4 linked regions of the Saccharomyces cerevisiae S288C genome follow. The protein of the gene in region 1 purifies or fractionates together with the protein of each later gene. This does not show direct contact. Each region holds a gene or a part of one and is shown in the gene's direction. Other genes may lie near its edges. The genes, in order: MEF1, GRX5, MTF1 and MOD5.

Region 1 (5,454 bases):
TAGGTACCCCAGAATCTGTCAAACCCGCAAACGCATCACATGCCATTCGTTTGGGCAATGGCGTGGCTTGCGATCCCAGTGAGATAGAGCCTATCCTAATGGAAATCCATAATATCCTCAAAGTGGACTCGAACTCAAGTTCATCTTAGAGCGAATAAAATGTCACCGGCGCTACTATCCCTTAGGAGATTGTAACCCCTCTCCTGAATTAATTCAAAATAAAATTGAAAACTGTATAAGTATATACATAAATATATCCATACACACTAAAAAGACATATTCATACTGCCTTGAGGATAGAGAACACCATTGAGCATGACTGACTTAACTACACAAGAAGCTATTGTTCTAGAGCGACCTGGTAAAATCACCCTAACTAATGTCAGCATCCCAAAGATTTCAGATCCTAACGAAGTAATCATCCAGATCAAGGCGACAGGAATATGCGGGTCAGATATCCATTACTATACCCATGGAAGAATAGCCAATTACGTGGTAGAATCACCAATGGTGCTGGGACATGAATCATCAGGAATAGTGGCCCTCATAGGTGAGAACGTCAAGACACTTAAAGTAGGAGATAGGGTGGCACTTGAGCCCGGAATACCTGACAGGTTTTCACCGGAGATGAAAGAGGGCAGATACAACCTGGACCCCAATTTAAAATTTGCTGCGACACCTCCCTTTGATGGGACCTTGACAAAGTATTATAAGACCATGAAAGATTTCGTCTATAAACTTCCTGATGATGTGTCATTCGAGGAAGGAGCACTAATAGAGCCATTATCAGTGGCAATCCATGCTAATAAATTAGCAAAGATCAAGTTTGGAGCCCGTTGCGTCGTCTTTGGAGCTGGGCCCATAGGTTTGCTAGCCGGGAAAGTAGCCAGTGTCTTTGGTGCTGCAGATGTTGTTTTTGTAGATCTATTAGAAAACAAGCTGGAAACGGCTAGGCAGTTTGGTGCCACCCACATCGTCAACTCAGGTGATCTCCCACATGGCGTTACTGTAGATAGTGTTATAAAAAAAGCAATCGGCAAGAAAGGTGCTGACGTTGTGTTTGAATGTTCTGGTGCAGAGCCTTGCGTTCGAGCAGGCATCGAAGTCTGTAAGGCAGGTGGAACGATCGTTCAAGTTGGAATGGGACAAGAGGAAATACAATTTCCCATCTCGATCATTCCAACAAAAGAACTGACATTCCAAGGCTGTTTCCGATACTGTCAAGGTGATTATAGTGACTCCATCGAGCTAGTCTCTAGCAGAAAACTCTCGCTTAAACCATTCATTACACATCGCTATAGCTTTAAGGATGCTGTCGAGGCATTCGAAGAAACAAGCCACCACCCGTTAAATAATATCAAGACGATCATTGAGGGCCCGGAATGAAGGAAAGAAAATGTAACTTTTGGCATCCAAGATGCACAATACATTTGATTTTTTTTATATGTCTTTTATATATATATATATTAATATGATAACTTTGCATTATTATTGTGGGGATGGAACTTCACAAGCGGCCGAAATTTCCAAGATGAAAATATCTAAAAAACGAGATTTAATAAAGGAGATTGAAACGGAAGAAGGTAGAAAGCACTGCAATATATCACCAATATGAGTGTCCAGAAAATGATGTGGGTGCCTCGAAAAATGGTTGGAGGTAGAATACCCTTTTTCACATGTTCAAAAGTTTTTTCAGGTTTCTCGAGAAGGTCTTTTCATGAGAGTCCACTTGCTCGTTCTACATATGAAGAAGAAAAAGTTTTGGTGGATGAAATCAAACAAAAACTTACTCCAGACGATATTGGAAGATGTAATAAATTGCGTAACATAGGTATATCTGCTCATATTGACTCCGGAAAAACTACTTTCACTGAACGTGTTCTGTACTATACAAAAAGAATCAAAGCCATTCATGAGGTTCGTGGTAGGGATAATGTTGGAGCCAAGATGGATTCTATGGATCTTGAAAGGGAAAAGGGTATTACTATTCAGTCTGCCGCTACTTACTGCTCTTGGGATAAAGAGGGCAAAAACTATCATTTCAACTTGATCGACACTCCAGGTCATATTGATTTCACTATCGAAGTGGAGCGTGCTCTTAGAGTACTAGACGGTGCAGTTCTTGTTGTTTGTGCTGTTTCAGGTGTTCAATCCCAAACTGTGACCGTGGATCGTCAAATGCGTAGATATAATGTTCCAAGAGTAACTTTCATCAACAAAATGGATCGTATGGGTTCAGATCCCTTCCGTGCAATAGAACAACTTAATTCGAAACTAAAAATACCTGCTGCTGCTGTACAAATTCCTATCGGATCGGAATCAAGCTTATCTGGTGTCGTTGATTTGATTAATAGAGTTGCTATTTACAACAAGGGTGATAATGGTGAAATTATAGAAAAAGGGCCAGTGCCTGAAAATTTGAAGCCATTAATGGAGGAAAAAAGACAACTTTTGATCGAAACACTTGCTGATGTGGATGATGAAATGGCAGAAATGTTTTTGGAAGAAAAGGAGCCTACCACGCAACAAATTAAAGATGCTATTCGCAGATCTACAATTGCTAGGTCTTTTACACCAGTTTTGATGGGATCCGCACTGGCAAATACTGGTATTCAGCCCGTTTTGGACGCTATTGTAGACTACTTACCTAATCCCTCTGAAGTGTTGAATACAGCTCTAGATGTGAGCAACAACGAAGCCAAGGTTAACTTAGTTCCTGCGGTGCAACAGCCATTTGTTGGATTGGCATTCAAATTGGAAGAAGGCAAATATGGTCAATTGACTTATGTTCGCGTATATCAGGGGCGTTTAAGAAAAGGTAATTACATTACAAATGTAAAGACTGGTAAAAAAGTGAAGGTTGCAAGATTGGTCAGGATGCATTCTAGTGAGATGGAAGATGTTGATGAAGTTGGCTCAGGTGAAATTTGCGCTACTTTTGGTATTGACTGTGCTTCTGGAGATACATTCACTGATGGTAGCGTTCAATACTCTATGTCATCCATGTATGTTCCAGATGCTGTTGTCTCGTTATCGATTACGCCAAATTCAAAGGACGCATCGAATTTTTCGAAGGCTTTGAACAGATTTCAAAAGGAAGACCCTACATTCAGAGTGAAGTTCGATCCTGAATCTAAAGAAACAATTATTTCTGGGATGGGTGAATTGCATCTGGAGATTTACGTTGAAAGAATGAGACGTGAATATAATGTGGACTGTGTCACGGGTAAACCGCAGGTTTCCTATAGAGAATCTATCACCATCCCGGCAGATTTTGATTATACACATAAAAAACAATCTGGTGGCGCTGGTCAATATGGTAGAGTTATCGGTACCTTATCTCCCGTGGATGACATTACCAAAGGCAACATATTCGAGACCGCTATTGTTGGTGGCCGTATACCGGACAAGTATTTGGCTGCATGTGGTAAGGGTTTTGAAGAAGTATGTGAAAAGGGACCATTGATCGGTCATCGTGTTTTGGATGTTAAAATGCTAATCAATGATGGTGCTATTCATGCCGTGGATTCTAATGAATTATCATTCAAAACAGCTACTATGTCAGCCTTCCGTGACGCCTTCCTGAGGGCACAGCCGGTGATCATGGAACCTATCATGAATGTTTCAGTAACATCGCCAAACGAGTTTCAAGGTAACGTCATCGGTTTATTGAATAAATTACAAGCAGTAATACAGGATACCGAAAATGGTCATGATGAATTTACATTAAAAGCAGAATGTGCCTTGAGCACGATGTTCGGTTTCGCCACCTCATTAAGAGCCTCGACTCAAGGTAAAGGTGAGTTTTCATTAGAGTTTAGTCATTACGCTCCAACAGCGCCCCATGTTCAAAAAGAATTGATATCTGAGTTCCAAAAGAAGCAAGCGAAGAAATAGTCAAGTCCTCATGGGCAAAACAGTCTTGTAAATAACAAATTCCAATAAAAAGGAATTAACAAAAGGCAGGAAATAAAATTAATATACACACTAATTAAGTAAATTTAAATAAAAAGATCTTTCTGTAAATACACGAATGAAAAGAAATTTTGAAGAATATCATTATCTAGGAGGTATAAGTATCATCCGTCTTAATTTTATCCAAAAGATCCTCTATCTTAGGGCCCATCAAGGGCTGGCCTGTCCTTGTTCTTTGAGTCAATTTCTTCTTTCTATCTTCTCTCCTCTGAAATTTTTCCTTCGAAACTCTGATTCTTTCCAATTGCTCGTTTCTTTGCTTGTTTAATTCATCTTTTTGCATTCTCTTTCTTTGTTTCTTGATCTCCTTCTTCTCGTCTAGTTTCTTCTTTCCCTCTATTGCCCTGGCTTCCTTAATCTTCCTTACAGATTCTTTTGCCACGGTTTTTGGTTCCTTTTCTGGTACGGCATACCCTTCATCTTTTAAAGCTTTAAGGTATTCCTTTCTCAGTCTAGTTTTCTTTGTAATACTTCTTTGGATCTCCTTAACCTTATACTCCCTCGTAAACTTCTTTCTATTTTGATTTTGCTTGGCTGTACCCATATTGATTTTGCTCAGTTGCTTACTTGACCACCTTCCTGTATCATTCTTGTGAAAGCACTTTTAATACTATCGCGATGAGGTTTGATTTTGAAATTTTTCATTGTTTGAAGGAAAAGTAACTTTTCGGGCCAATAGAGAAATAAAAATAAAAAATCATGTAGTGTAAGTTAAAGTGGGATTTCTAGGTGACGCTAACGCAGCCTCGATACCCAGGAAAGAGGCCGCAATAGTGTACAAAGCTTCGAATTTAAGTGATTAAGGGTGTTGGAGTATACTGAAACACGCTTTTTGGCCATTATGAAAAGGTGTGCTCCTGCCGTATTAAGAAATTATAATTATAAGAAGGGTATATGGAGTACCGGCGTACCTGATCATATAAGGAAGCTGCTTCGAGATAAATCGACGTCACCATTATGCTCACAGGATGAGAGAAACCTGGTCTCATATTTTATGGCGCGCGGAAGTGTTCCTCTAAAGTCGGTTGGCAGTGGATTAACAAAGAAAGCAACAACATCAATAACAAGTAATTCAGCTACCACAACATTTGAACGACAGTACCTTATAAAGTATCTTTATCGGCACCAGGCCTATGGGAACGTTATAAAAATTGCACAGAAGTTTCTTTATACCACTATTGGTTCACAAAGATTGTTAAAACAGGATGCCTCATTACCTGAATTGAAAAAGTTCCTTCTCTCTTTATTGATTTTACAAAGAGGTATTCAATTAGATCAGGCAATCTCTGATATCATACAACGGTTTCTATTAACACAAAAGACAATGGTGATAGACCTCATTAACTCGATTTTCTCTAGGATGGTTATAATGAATATGCATGAAGAAGCTGTATATAAATGGGTCAAATGGATGAAACTAGTGAATGGACATTGTGAATTTACGAATTATATGGAGAACAAGATAGTTTTGAGAAACTT
Region 2 (3,684 bases), on another chromosome or scaffold:
TCACGAGGATCGATTTCTATGATATCATTTTCAAAGACATCATCAAATTGATATTTCTTGATGAATTTTTTAAAATTGTTTAAGAGAATAGGAATGTTCTCGACATTATTAGTCCTATAATCAAAAACACAATCCTTAGGGTAGAATCTTTTGTTGGTTGAAGTTAACGTATCGAATAAATAGTAAGTCCCTGTAGCATCTATATGTTCATGTAATATATTATTGTTCTCGTTTGTTTCCAATAATTGTATCTTTTCAACTAGATCCACAATCCTATTCTCAACCTTGTCAATGGTTTCTCCGAGTTTTAATAATTTTTCAGCTAGCATCTGAATATCATCAGTCTCAGAAAGTTTTTCCTCTTCTGCCTTTAAACCATTTAGTATGGTTTTAAACCTATTTAAGTTTCTTTGATATTGTTTCACCTGTTCATCTTTAATAGAAACTTTTCTTAATGATGATGGCGTCTGTCTGACAGTATCATTTGTTTTGACTTTCGATTGAATCCGCGCAGAAATGTTGTCGTCAATAACATTTCTTGTTTCATCCCTCACTGGGGTCGCCATGTTGATAATTAGAGGTAAAAAATTAGTATTAATGAAGAAGTGAGTACTGATCTTCTTATACTAAATAAGAGAGGTATATAAAACACACGCCGATTGGTCATATTAATCATGACCAATATAATAGTGGTTCCGGTAGTTACTATACATTGATGTGACGACTCATATTCCTCATATATGTACCTACCATATCATGTTCAACTAATAGGTCTTTAACACAGCTTCAGTATTGTCTGAGCTTCTCGTTTAACATTCCTTCTGCAATAGGCGCAATCACACTTAAACGTATACGAGTTGTACATTAATATACGATGTAAGCATTAGATTGTTACCATAGCAACTCATGTCACTATTAATTACTCTCGTTCCAACAATCAAAGAATATTAAATGAACTTCAAATATTAAGTAATTCTCCTTGTTCTGCTTCTACGGCTCTAATCCATATTAGCATACCCGATTAATATAATTGCCTGCGATCGAATACCCAATGTACTGGATTTTGTTGGAACAAGTGATTTATCACAGTTCACACTGTCGTGAAGTAATTTGACGGTATATATCATATATAAACAATATTCAATGGTGAAATCAGCAGTTTGCGTTGAATTAAGAACATATACTACTTGAACATAAACTGGGGTTCATGTAAATGGAAAATATGAGCCATCGCATTGAGCATATGGCAGTCATAAGCAGTTTTGATTCTGCTTAAGATTCAATTAAAAGTAATTGAAAGAGTAAAATGTTTTATAGTTCAGTTAGTAACTTCGAGCAAGCTAGTGCTTGCCATTTAGGCCATTGAATAATTCAGTACGAGTATATGCTTATTATTATGGATAATTGATGCACTAGAACACAAGGAGAACGAGTATTTTAACAAATTGAGCTATTACAAAAGGAATACTTAGATACGGCATTATCTGACTTAAGGCTTCTTCATTAGTGATTGATTAAAAGAAAAAATAGAATGCAAAAGCTAAAGGAATTAAGCGAAACTAGGTTCCAGTAACACTTAATTTAGTAGCCTTATCAATATTAAGAAAGGATGGTAACCTCTAATATATCACTGCCATGTAATGAACTTCTATATTTTAGGGATTTAGGAGGGTTCTGATCTGAATCACTTATGTGTTTTATATTTTCTACATACAGCGCGACTGCTGTTTTCTATCCATAATTATTTTAAGCATGCGCTATCGTTTCTACCTAATGACAAATTGTGGTAACAGCCAGATTTATCTCAATATACATTAGTAGTCAATATCTCAAACGACATCGAATGCCGCACATAGCCATTTATTATAACAGATGAGAACCACATCACTTTTTATTACAAGGTGTCCATTATGACGACTGTAGAAGTATGCAAATCATAAGTTAGCCCAAAGAAGACATTTAGATTTTCTTACGACAATACTAATTAAGGTACCACGAACAAAGAGAGAACAGTAGGTATGTTGTATTGCTACGCCAACTTTTCTTGTGATCAAAAAGTTCAATGCATTCATTCTTCTTTATAATATAGTACAAACTGTTAATTTACTACATACGGAATCATGAGATTCTAAATTTAGTATACAGAGCTTAATTTATTCAATAAAGCATAACTAGTGCCGTAAAGAGTCTAAACCGGTATTTGGCACTGATCTGAGCTTATTGGAAAAACGTTACCCGACCAAAATAAATCACTTCTAGGAAGTAAAGGTATAAAGTATTGATGACAAATGCGTTCTAGTCCCAAAGGGACAAGAAGTTGTATTACTCTTTTCACATATATCAAGGCCACAAAGGTATCTGTTTACTTTTTGACTTTAGCAAAAATTTGAGGAAATCAGACAATGTTTCTCCCAAAATTCAATCCCATAAGGTCATTTTCCCCCATCCTCCGGGCTAAGACTCTTCTTCGTTACCAAAATCGGATGTATTTGAGCACAGAGATAAGAAAAGCTATTGAAGATGCCATCGAATCGGCTCCAGTGGTTCTTTTCATGAAAGGTACTCCTGAATTTCCCAAGTGTGGATTTTCAAGAGCAACCATTGGATTATTAGGAAATCAAGGCGTTGACCCGGCCAAATTTGCGGCTTATAATGTTTTAGAAGACCCAGAGCTACGTGAAGGTATCAAAGAGTTTTCAGAATGGCCAACTATTCCACAGTTATATGTAAACAAAGAATTCATTGGTGGATGTGATGTTATTACAAGTATGGCACGCTCTGGTGAATTGGCCGATTTGCTAGAAGAGGCACAGGCATTGGTACCTGAAGAAGAAGAAGAAACCAAAGATCGTTGATTTTGTTACCACTGGAAGCAAAATAGGAACTGGTGGCCGAACACTTTAATACTCGTGTGCATAATAGGCCTTTACGATCCATATTTATATATGCATGTACATTTGCTATTTTTTTAAAGATTTGTAATGTATTCTCATGCCTTTAGACTTGTAAATAACAGATTCTCTACTTACAAACCCCTCTCTTTGCTTTGCCAAATGAATTGACGTTATAAAACAAAGAAGTGAGAATTATGAATATATTTAATATTCCCCGCATAGACTTGAATCAAAAAACGTTAGTTTTAGAATGACAGAAGCCATATCTTCGTTCTGATTCAACGTGCGAAAGACGCGACAGACATTTGTTGGGGTTGTCTTTGTTACTCTCTTGATTTTCGATAGATTCCGTACTGTTACCAGTTTGCTTTTCCCCCATTTTTTTTAACGTAAAAGGATTGGAAGATAATAGGCGAGCTCAATTTTATTGCCCTGCGAAGCTTTCAAATATGTTAGTCAAAGGATCAAACTTCCTTTTGAAGGTGATAGGGATATAATGAACACACAATTGTGCCTTTAAGCCATTACTCACGAGTGGGATAGAAATGAAATTCTTTTCTTTTAAATGGTATTAATAATTAATATATTAAATAATTATATTGATTCTATACATAAAACATTAGTGTGAAATTTTCGGAAAATAATAATAGAAAGTAAAATCAAATGTAAAATTAAAAAAATGATGTTAAAGGACGCCAAAATTTGTGAAAAAAAATTGAAAATAAAAATTGTGTGTTAAACCACGAAATACAAATATATTTGCTTGCTTGTTTATTTCTTCGTGATTTTA
Region 3 (4,179 bases), on another chromosome or scaffold:
ATGCCTCCAAGTACTCTAATGCGGTCGCCTTACCAATACCAGCAGATGCACCTGTAATGAGGACAGTCTTCTTAGCCAATCTTTCTGCAGCTTTTCTACCTTGGGACATTATCAAAATACGTTCTCAATGTTCTATTTCCCGCCTTTACTAGTGAGCTTGAACACTTTCTATGCGCCATGCTGTTTCATCTATCCTCCTTTCTTCAGCTTTTTATATCGCTCCGATAAGAAAAATCGGTGTCGTGCCTTAATATATATCAATGCTATACGTCATAGAGTAGAGTCGTATAGTGTATAAGAGTAATATATAGATGATAAAGAGAACTTACTCATCACCCTCTGCACCAAATAGCATCATCATATCGAGATCGTTCTGGTCGAGTGTTTCCTCTGCGGGGGCTTCATCAAGTTCGCGCACCACCTTGTTCTCTTGTATGTGTTCCCGTTCATGCACATTATCCTCGTCCTCATCGTTTTCTTCGTCATCCTCCTCGTCTTCGTCCACTTCATCCTCTTCCTCTTCTTCTTCCTCTTCCTCTTCTTCTTCCTCGACGTTATTTGCAGTTTCTGCGTCAGAGCGATGTTGATGTTGTTTCTGGACAGAATCTTCGGTTTGTTGTAACTGCTTACGTTTTAGTTCAGCCTCCTTCTCGAGCTTTTTAATGCTATCTATGAACCTGCTTTTCAAAAGAGGATTCGTGGCTTTACTTAATTTATGCTTGGTATGGGCCAGGGTGGTCTCTAGTTCGTTCAATTCGTCCGCAAGTAATTCAGTGTGCTGTCTGTTTTCGTCTTTTTCGTCATCAGATTCACTTTCCCCACCAGCAGCTTCAATGTCACCGTCGTCATCATCGTCATCATCTTCTCCGCCTGTGTCTTGATCCACCTCATCACCGACTTCCTCTTGTTGTTGCTCCTTGTCTCCCTCGGCACCGCTACCTTCCTCTTCACTTTCAAAAGCAGCGCCTAGGTCAAGATCCTCCTCTTCTTCTTCTTCCATTCCTTCTTCTCCCTCTTCTTCTGCACCTTGTTTTCCTACTGCCGAAGCAATTGTGTGTATCTCTTCTTTCTTTAAAGCAGGTCTAGATAAAGGCTCTCCAGGCTCCTCTTTGAAATTTTCCCAACTAGAAACACGCTCTTGCCTCGCTTGCAGTTCACTTTTATCAACCAGATCATAGCTGACCTCTTCTGCCTGTTTATCTTGCTTCAAAAGCATATCAACCACTTTTTCTACATAGTCTATTTCATTAGGGTCCATTTTCCGTCTAAATCGTCTATTTCGAACATTGTACAAAGGTGGTGATATTCCATGTTTGTAGTCATAGCCCTTCAAAGCTATTTCTTTCAAATGTTTAGCCTCCATATCACTTAAAGGCGCACCATTGTATCCTTTTAAGAAGGTTTCTTTATTCTCCCAAATTTCATCCTCTATGCCTTCAAAATGCTTAACAACCAGATCTTCTGTATCAGGGGCTTCTAGGGCATATACTTCTTCCTCTTCTTGTATAGGTCTTATGCATAGTAGCATTTGTGATACGTCAAATGTCTTCAGGAGGTTTTTTCTATCGACGCTCTTGTTCACTTCTATAACTGTAGGCAAATCTACTAGAATGGCACCATACATTACATCGTTTATTGTTACGACAGCGTGTCTCTCGTTTTTCCACTTGATACTTATCCCAGAATAATCACCTGATTCTAACGAATTTTTTACAAACTCTAACTGTATGTCTGGAAGTATCCTTAATATCACACCACTCTCTATGAGAGGGTCATCTTCAATATCAGAGGCTTCTGAGTCGTACGCTTCCCCAGGAATTCTAATAGGTTTGAGACGTAGCTTTGGCGCCTTGTGTATCTTCTTAACTGGTTCTTCATTTTTTTTCAAGTTTAACTTTAACTTCAATGAATTCTTCTTCTCTTTGCCGTCAGCACTCTCTTTCTTTTTCTTTAGGTTTATCTTTAATTTAGGCTTTGGTTTGATATCTTCATCAGTTACCTTTGTCTTTATGCGAATTCTCTTTAGTTTAGGCTCGCCTTCTAATGGTTGATCCTTCTCTCCTGGTCCTCTGGGTTTTTTAATTCTTATAACAGCCATATTTACGTCGATTATTGCGACTAATTTGAATGGTAACACTGTCTCTTGTTTATGTAGTTCTTCCTATTCTTCTCGCTTTTATTATTTTTGCTAGCAAGTTTTGTCTTGAAATTTTATTTACTGTTCTCATCGGCCGAATAACAGCGATATTATTGTATGATGATAATAGAGATGAAACTTTACAAATGCGGTTACTACGTCAGTCAATACCATTCTTTGAAGTAAGAAGGCTCAGCAACTATGTCTGTTCCAATCCCTGGTATTAAAGATATCTCCAAACTTAAGTTCTTTTATGGTTTCAAATATTTATGGAATCCAACAGTATACAATAAAATCTTTGATAAGCTGGATTTAACTAAAACGTATAAACATCCAGAAGAATTGAAAGTACTTGACCTCTACCCTGGTGTTGGTATACAATCAGCTATTTTTTATAATAAATATTGCCCCAGGCAATATTCTTTATTAGAAAAACGCTCAAGTCTCTACAAGTTTCTGAATGCAAAATTCGAAGGGTCTCCATTGCAAATTCTAAAAAGAGATCCATATGACTGGTCAACCTACTCGAATCTAATTGACGAAGAGCGAATATTTGTTCCTGAAGTTCAATCCTCAGATCATATTAATGATAAATTTCTAACCGTTGCTAATGTGACGGGGGAGGGTTCTGAAGGTCTTATAATGCAGTGGCTGTCCTGTATTGGAAACAAGAACTGGTTGTATAGGTTTGGTAAAGTAAAGATGTTATTATGGATGCCAAGCACAACAGCTAGAAAACTTCTAGCTAGGCCAGGCATGCATTCTAGATCCAAATGTTCAGTAGTAAGGGAGGCATTTACAGATACTAAACTCATTGCCATATCAGACGCAAATGAATTGAAGGGATTTGATAGTCAATGCATAGAAGAATGGGATCCCATTTTATTTAGTGCTGCGGAAATATGGCCTACAAAGGGAAAGCCAATTGCGTTAGTAGAAATGGACCCAATTGACTTCGATTTTGACGTAGATAATTGGGATTATGTCACGAGGCACTTAATGATTTTGAAAAGAACACCCTTGAATACTGTCATGGACTCGCTGGGACATGGTGGCCAACAATATTTTAATAGTAGAATCACTGACAAAGATCTGCTAAAAAAGTGTCCGATTGATTTGACAAATGACGAGTTTATATATCTAACGAAATTATTCATGGAGTGGCCTTTCAAACCAGATATTTTAATGGATTTTGTTGATATGTATCAAACAGAGCACTCTGGTTGAAAAAAGTGCTTTTAAAATTTACTTCATTATTTAATAAATATGTGATTTTAGCGTGTGAATATAAAAAATACATAGAACTCAATCTTCGTTAACACGGAACCATCTTGTAATCAAGAAGCGAGAAGCGGAACTAAAACTTTAAGAAAAGGAGCTCTACGAACCGTCAAAGCTAAATTGATCGATAGAAATTGCTTCTTGAAACTTTACATTCTATGTACTTTACAAATATACTTTACAAACTTAGCCATTTATATTACTTTACAGTTAAAAATCCATCAGGAATTATTCGTCTGCTTTTTGAGATTCATGGCTAGCGACATACTCAGTAGCTTTAGCTTTAACGTATTCAATGGTCTTTTCGTCACCTTCAGATTCCTCAAATTGTAACCATTTATTAAAGAAAAACTTAGCCTGCTTCCTTGTTATTTTTTTGGTTATTATTCTCTCAAATAAATCTTCCACCTTCTTCTTATCTTTTGCCTTCACTTCCTGGTCTACGTAAACGTTCCACAGGTCAATTCTCTTTGGCGCATCAGCAACCAAACCTTCGAATAATGACCGACCCCTTTCTGGGTCACCCTTTGCAAATTCTAATTGAGCAAACTTGCGGACAACCTCGATATGATTACGCTTTGGTAGGGCCTTCAAAGCATTACCTAAAATAGTACGTGCCTCTTGCTCTTCATTGTGGCTGATCAAAAAATCACCCCACGATACCCAGATAGAAACTTTCTCGCCGCCAAATTTCTTAGCTGTAGCTTTGAATAATTCTGCTGCTTTGTCGAACTTTTCACTTATTTCATAAATACCAAGCA
Region 4 (4,358 bases), on another chromosome or scaffold:
GGCTTGCCAAAACAGGCCGATAGGCAAAGCTACAGAACCAAATTTACAGGCAATTAAAAATTTTTCTGGAACAACGGGTAGCAATTCACCTGTTTCAGCGTCTCTTGCACCTCTGTAAGGGGTAGTCCTTTTAGAAGTTCTCTCTTTTTCGGTGAGTGGTTGAGTGCCAGCTGGTGGTTTAGGGAAGAGATATTTTCTGTCGATGTAAAGGTAAAAGAAAGCACCTATCCATAACCCGACACCAATACCAATAAATGGCAAGCCAGATATCCCCATAGACATGTGGTAAACACCACGATAAATGACAGCGTATGCTTCGAAAAATCCAAATAAAATGGCGAATATGAAAGCGACATAAACACTGAAAACAAATACAATAGGTTCAACGACAAGCATTTTTAAAGGCCTTAAGATTGTAATAGTGACAGTGGTTTTTAAAAATTCTTTCTGAGCTTCCCTGCTGAACTTCTTCAAGGCTATATTTCTCTTCTTGGCACGCTTTCTTAAAATAATACCTTTATGGGTCTCTGGCATGAGCGCAATAAATGGCAAGATTAGACCGCCCGCAATCAATTGGATCCATTCAGACCAACGCCAGCCTTTGGCTTCAGTAGCAAATCCTGCCATAATAGGAGATAAAACTGGCCCTAAGAATGGAGATAGAACAAAGTATGTCATTGCGACGGAGACCTGGTCCACGTCAAAGATATCCAGGATGGTACCTGATCCAACGGATAAGGCGGGGGATGCAAAGACACCTGATAAAAACCTTAGGGGTAGAATTATTCTCATGTGGCCATTGGATAACCCAACACCCATGGTGAAAAGCATTGACACAGGTAGGGAAAATAAATAGACAGGCTTACGACCAAACACTTCACTTAATGGAGCGCCGATGACAGTCGATAAACCCAGAAGATAGAAAGTTAAACCAGCAAGCGCCAAAGTCTGACTAACGTGATATCTTTCTACCAATTCTGGTACGGAAGAAACATATAGGGAACTACCCATTGTGACGACCAAACAAAGAAAAGCTGAAGTCATAGTAGTATACCATTTCTTCAAAGAGGACCAATTATGCGGATTGTCTGGGTCATCGGGCCCGTCCCAATCGAGATCTCTTGGGTCAATTGGCTCGCCCCCTGTCATGTTATTGGAATCTGCATTCGGTTCTGATCTTTTTTCGTCCTCTGTTATTGACCCTGTCGAAGAAGAAGTCGAATCCAAGTTGCCGCTATTAGTTACATTTTTGTCCAAGGCTTTTGGTACCTGCTGTATGTTTGTTCGAGGATCTGAGTTAGATTCGGTTTTTGTCAAAGAAGAAGGCATTAGTAAAACTTAAAATATATGTATACGATGTCTATGCTTCTTTGTGTGTGTATGTGTGTGTATAAGATGGTATCTTTATTCTGTAATTTTCAGGAAAGTGATGACTAGAAAATCGATGTGTCAGGTACAACAAATTGACAACCTATAACTTTCCATACAGGCGAATATATATATACACATAAACACATTCAAGCCTCCGGTACCGTTTGCTCTGACAAGGACAATTAGCATGTAAGCACGAGTGCGGGTATGCAATCATTTCAGTGTTTCCTTCATTTGGCATAGTGTCGTAACACGGATTTAAGGTGAGCCGTCAGGGGCTTTTAAGCGGAGCCCCTGCAGCTTCATGAAGACGGAACCGCACGGGCCTATTACCTCGGGGATAGATCAATTATCCGAAGCGGGTCACAACCCGGAAATAATAACCACTATGCCCGACCGTACCGACGTGGCACTATTTTTGGGATCCGTGGAAGTCGGCCATTAGTGGTAATCGGCGAAAACAAGTTTATTGCAGCTAAAGCACGCCATACGGTTGATATAAACAGCAATTAGGCACTTTTTCTCTTATTATTCATATGCCTTATTGGCTTGTGGCTTGTGGCTTGTAGCCTATGCAAATGCATTTGCTGATAGCAGCATAAGAAAGTTGGGAAGAAACGCTAACTGTACTTTTTATATCCAGAGTTCATTAGTTGATCTTTTACCCCAATAATTTCTTCCACTTGCGGCCTGCTTCTTCGCATTTCTCCCATTCCGGGCCGCGACTCCGTAGTTCTTACAGAAACAGCCGCCTCCATAACCATCTATGATAGGAAAAAGATGGACAAACAGGAAAAGAGCTAGGGAGTATAACCTGATTCCTGACATGTATAGGATTCGGGTAATTTTGAAATACGAAGCTCTTTGCATTCCGAGACCGGTTTAGGAAGATTTATTTACATATCTACTTGCGCTATTGTGGTCATGCCTTCGAAAGATAAAGAGCGAATTTTGCTCGTATAAGCTAAAATCAGGTAAAAGTTCCTTATGTTGCTGCTCCTCGATGGCAACGTCGATCTAAGATCTTGATTACTGAATCAGGCGAAAGCACACGTTCATCTTTCGCTCATCGGAAAGAAAATTAAAACAGAAAAAAATTCTAAAATGGCAAAAAAGAAGAAAAGCTCAGTGAGGGCTGTATAGTTTATTAGATAAGCTACTATACGTACATATCTTTTGTAAATAGAACCAAAAATCTTCATGCTAAAGGGACCGCTTAAAGGTTGCTTAAATATGTCTAAAAAAGTTATAGTGATTGCTGGTACAACAGGAGTAGGAAAGTCTCAGTTGTCCATACAATTGGCACAAAAATTTAATGGCGAAGTTATCAATTCGGATTCTATGCAGGTATATAAAGATATTCCTATTATAACAAATAAACATCCGCTTCAAGAAAGAGAGGGCATTCCTCACCATGTAATGAATCACGTAGATTGGTCAGAAGAATACTATTCCCATCGTTTTGAAACTGAATGCATGAACGCTATTGAAGATATTCACCGGAGGGGTAAGATACCCATCGTTGTTGGGGGTACTCATTATTATTTGCAGACTCTTTTCAATAAGCGGGTCGATACGAAATCATCCGAACGTAAGCTCACAAGGAAGCAGCTCGATATTTTGGAATCGACTGACCCTGATGTGATTTATAACACACTTGTGAAGTGTGATCCTGATATAGCTACCAAATACCATCCTAATGACTACAGGAGGGTACAACGAATGTTGGAAATCTACTATAAGACGGGCAAAAAACCAAGCGAGACATTTAACGAACAAAAAATAACTTTGAAGTTTGATACCCTATTTTTATGGCTATACAGTAAGCCGGAGCCACTTTTCCAAAGGCTTGACGATCGTGTAGACGACATGCTAGAAAGAGGCGCCTTGCAAGAAATCAAGCAATTATATGAATATTACAGTCAAAATAAATTTACGCCGGAGCAATGCGAGAATGGTGTTTGGCAAGTTATTGGCTTCAAAGAATTCTTACCGTGGCTAACCGGGAAAACTGATGACAACACAGTAAAATTGGAGGATTGTATAGAAAGAATGAAAACGAGAACACGTCAATACGCAAAAAGGCAGGTAAAATGGATCAAGAAAATGCTGATACCTGACATCAAAGGCGATATATACTTACTGGATGCCACTGACCTTTCTCAATGGGACACGAATGCATCTCAAAGAGCGATAGCTATTTCCAATGACTTTATTAGCAATCGACCCATCAAGCAAGAAAGGGCACCTAAAGCCCTAGAGGAGCTGTTGTCTAAAGGCGAAACTACGATGAAGAAATTGGACGATTGGACACATTATACTTGCAACGTCTGTCGTAACGCAGATGGTAAGAACGTTGTAGCTATTGGCGAAAAATATTGGAAAATTCATTTGGGTAGCAGAAGACATAAATCCAACTTGAAAAGAAACACTCGTCAAGCTGATTTTGAAAAATGGAAAATAAACAAGAAGGAGACTGTGGAATGAAAATATTAGGAAAAAGGAGTTTATCCTGAGTGTATATATCTACATAAGTGAAGCTGGGTTTTGATAATGGAAAGGGAGGATGACAAGCTCAAAATATACTTTATAGATGAATGAGGACAGGTATCATTGGTCTTCAAATGTCAAACTCTTATCAAGCCTAGCTTTTTCTGCTCTTCTTGCTGTATCATATTCCTGTACCTCATTGTACAGATTGCTGGTAGAAGTAATTAAATTTTCGTAAAATGCTGTGCCGGCACTTAAATTTTCTTTCACCTCATCAAGCAGTTTGAAGGAATATCTCAGATCTTCAATATATAGCTCTCTGGGATCTATTCTTACCATTTTCTTTGGTTCAATCCCGCTTCTGCCGGGGTTATTCTTCTTACTTAGGTTTACTTCCTCAATAAGTTTGATATTTTCTTCCTTTGTACTATTAACGTATCTTAAATCTTCGTCAAAGTATTTTAAATGGCCTATGAAAATGGGTTCAAAGTCGACTG

Evidence for each region.
Region 2: the proteins of MEF1 (region 1) and GRX5 fractionate together in Saccharomyces cerevisiae (co-fractionation; one large-scale study listed by BioGRID). This does not show direct contact.
Region 3: the proteins of MEF1 (region 1) and MTF1 fractionate together in Saccharomyces cerevisiae (co-fractionation; one large-scale study listed by BioGRID). This does not show direct contact.
Region 4: the proteins of MEF1 (region 1) and MOD5 fractionate together in Saccharomyces cerevisiae (co-fractionation; one large-scale study listed by BioGRID). This does not show direct contact.

Annotation. Positions count from the first base shown.
Region 1 is NC_001144.5:270,073-275,526, reverse strand, and holds MEF1 (Mef1p), read left to right. Parts: upstream 1-1,611; coding exon 1,612-3,897; downstream 3,898-5,454. Other genes in the region: RGR1 (Rgr1p), read left to right, coding at 1-149; D-xylulose reductase XYL2, read left to right, coding at 316-1,386; FYV7 (Fyv7p), read right to left, coding at 4,064-4,519; PET309 (Pet309p), read left to right, coding at 4,817-5,454. UniProt on the Saccharomyces cerevisiae protein: Mitochondrial GTPase that catalyzes the GTP-dependent ribosomal translocation step during translation elongation.
Region 2 is NC_001148.4:442,177-445,860, forward strand, and holds GRX5 (monothiol glutaredoxin GRX5), read left to right. Parts: upstream 1-2,402; coding exon 2,403-2,855; downstream 2,856-3,684. Other genes in the region: ATP-binding cassette multidrug transporter PDR12, read right to left, coding at 3,666-3,684. UniProt on the Saccharomyces cerevisiae protein: Monothiol glutaredoxin involved in mitochondrial iron-sulfur (Fe/S) cluster transfer. Receives 2Fe/2S clusters from scaffold protein ISU1 and mediates their transfer to apoproteins, to the 4Fe/FS cluster biosynthesis machinery, or export from mitochondrion.
Region 3 is NC_001145.3:722,288-726,466, forward strand, and holds MTF1 (RNA polymerase specificity factor), read left to right. Parts: upstream 1-2,338; coding exon 2,339-3,364; downstream 3,365-4,179. Other genes in the region: ORA1 (oxidoreductase), read right to left, coding at 1-109; TATA-binding protein-associated factor TAF7, read right to left, coding at 326-2,098; RRP5 (Rrp5p), read right to left, coding at 3,647-4,179. UniProt on the Saccharomyces cerevisiae protein: Mitochondrial transcription factor that confers selective promoter recognition on the core subunit of the yeast mitochondrial RNA polymerase. Interacts with DNA in a non-specific manner.
Region 4 is NC_001147.6:835,103-839,460, forward strand, and holds MOD5 (tRNA dimethylallyltransferase), read left to right. Parts: upstream 1-2,571; coding exon 2,572-3,858; downstream 3,859-4,358. Other genes in the region: TPO4 (Tpo4p), read right to left, coding at 1-1,329; RIM20 (Rim20p), read right to left, coding at 3,982-4,358. UniProt on the Saccharomyces cerevisiae protein: Catalyzes the transfer of a dimethylallyl group onto the adenine at position 37 in the anticodon loop on a specific subset of tRNAs both in the cytosol and the mitochondrion, leading to the formation of N6-(dimethylallyl)adenosine (i(6)A).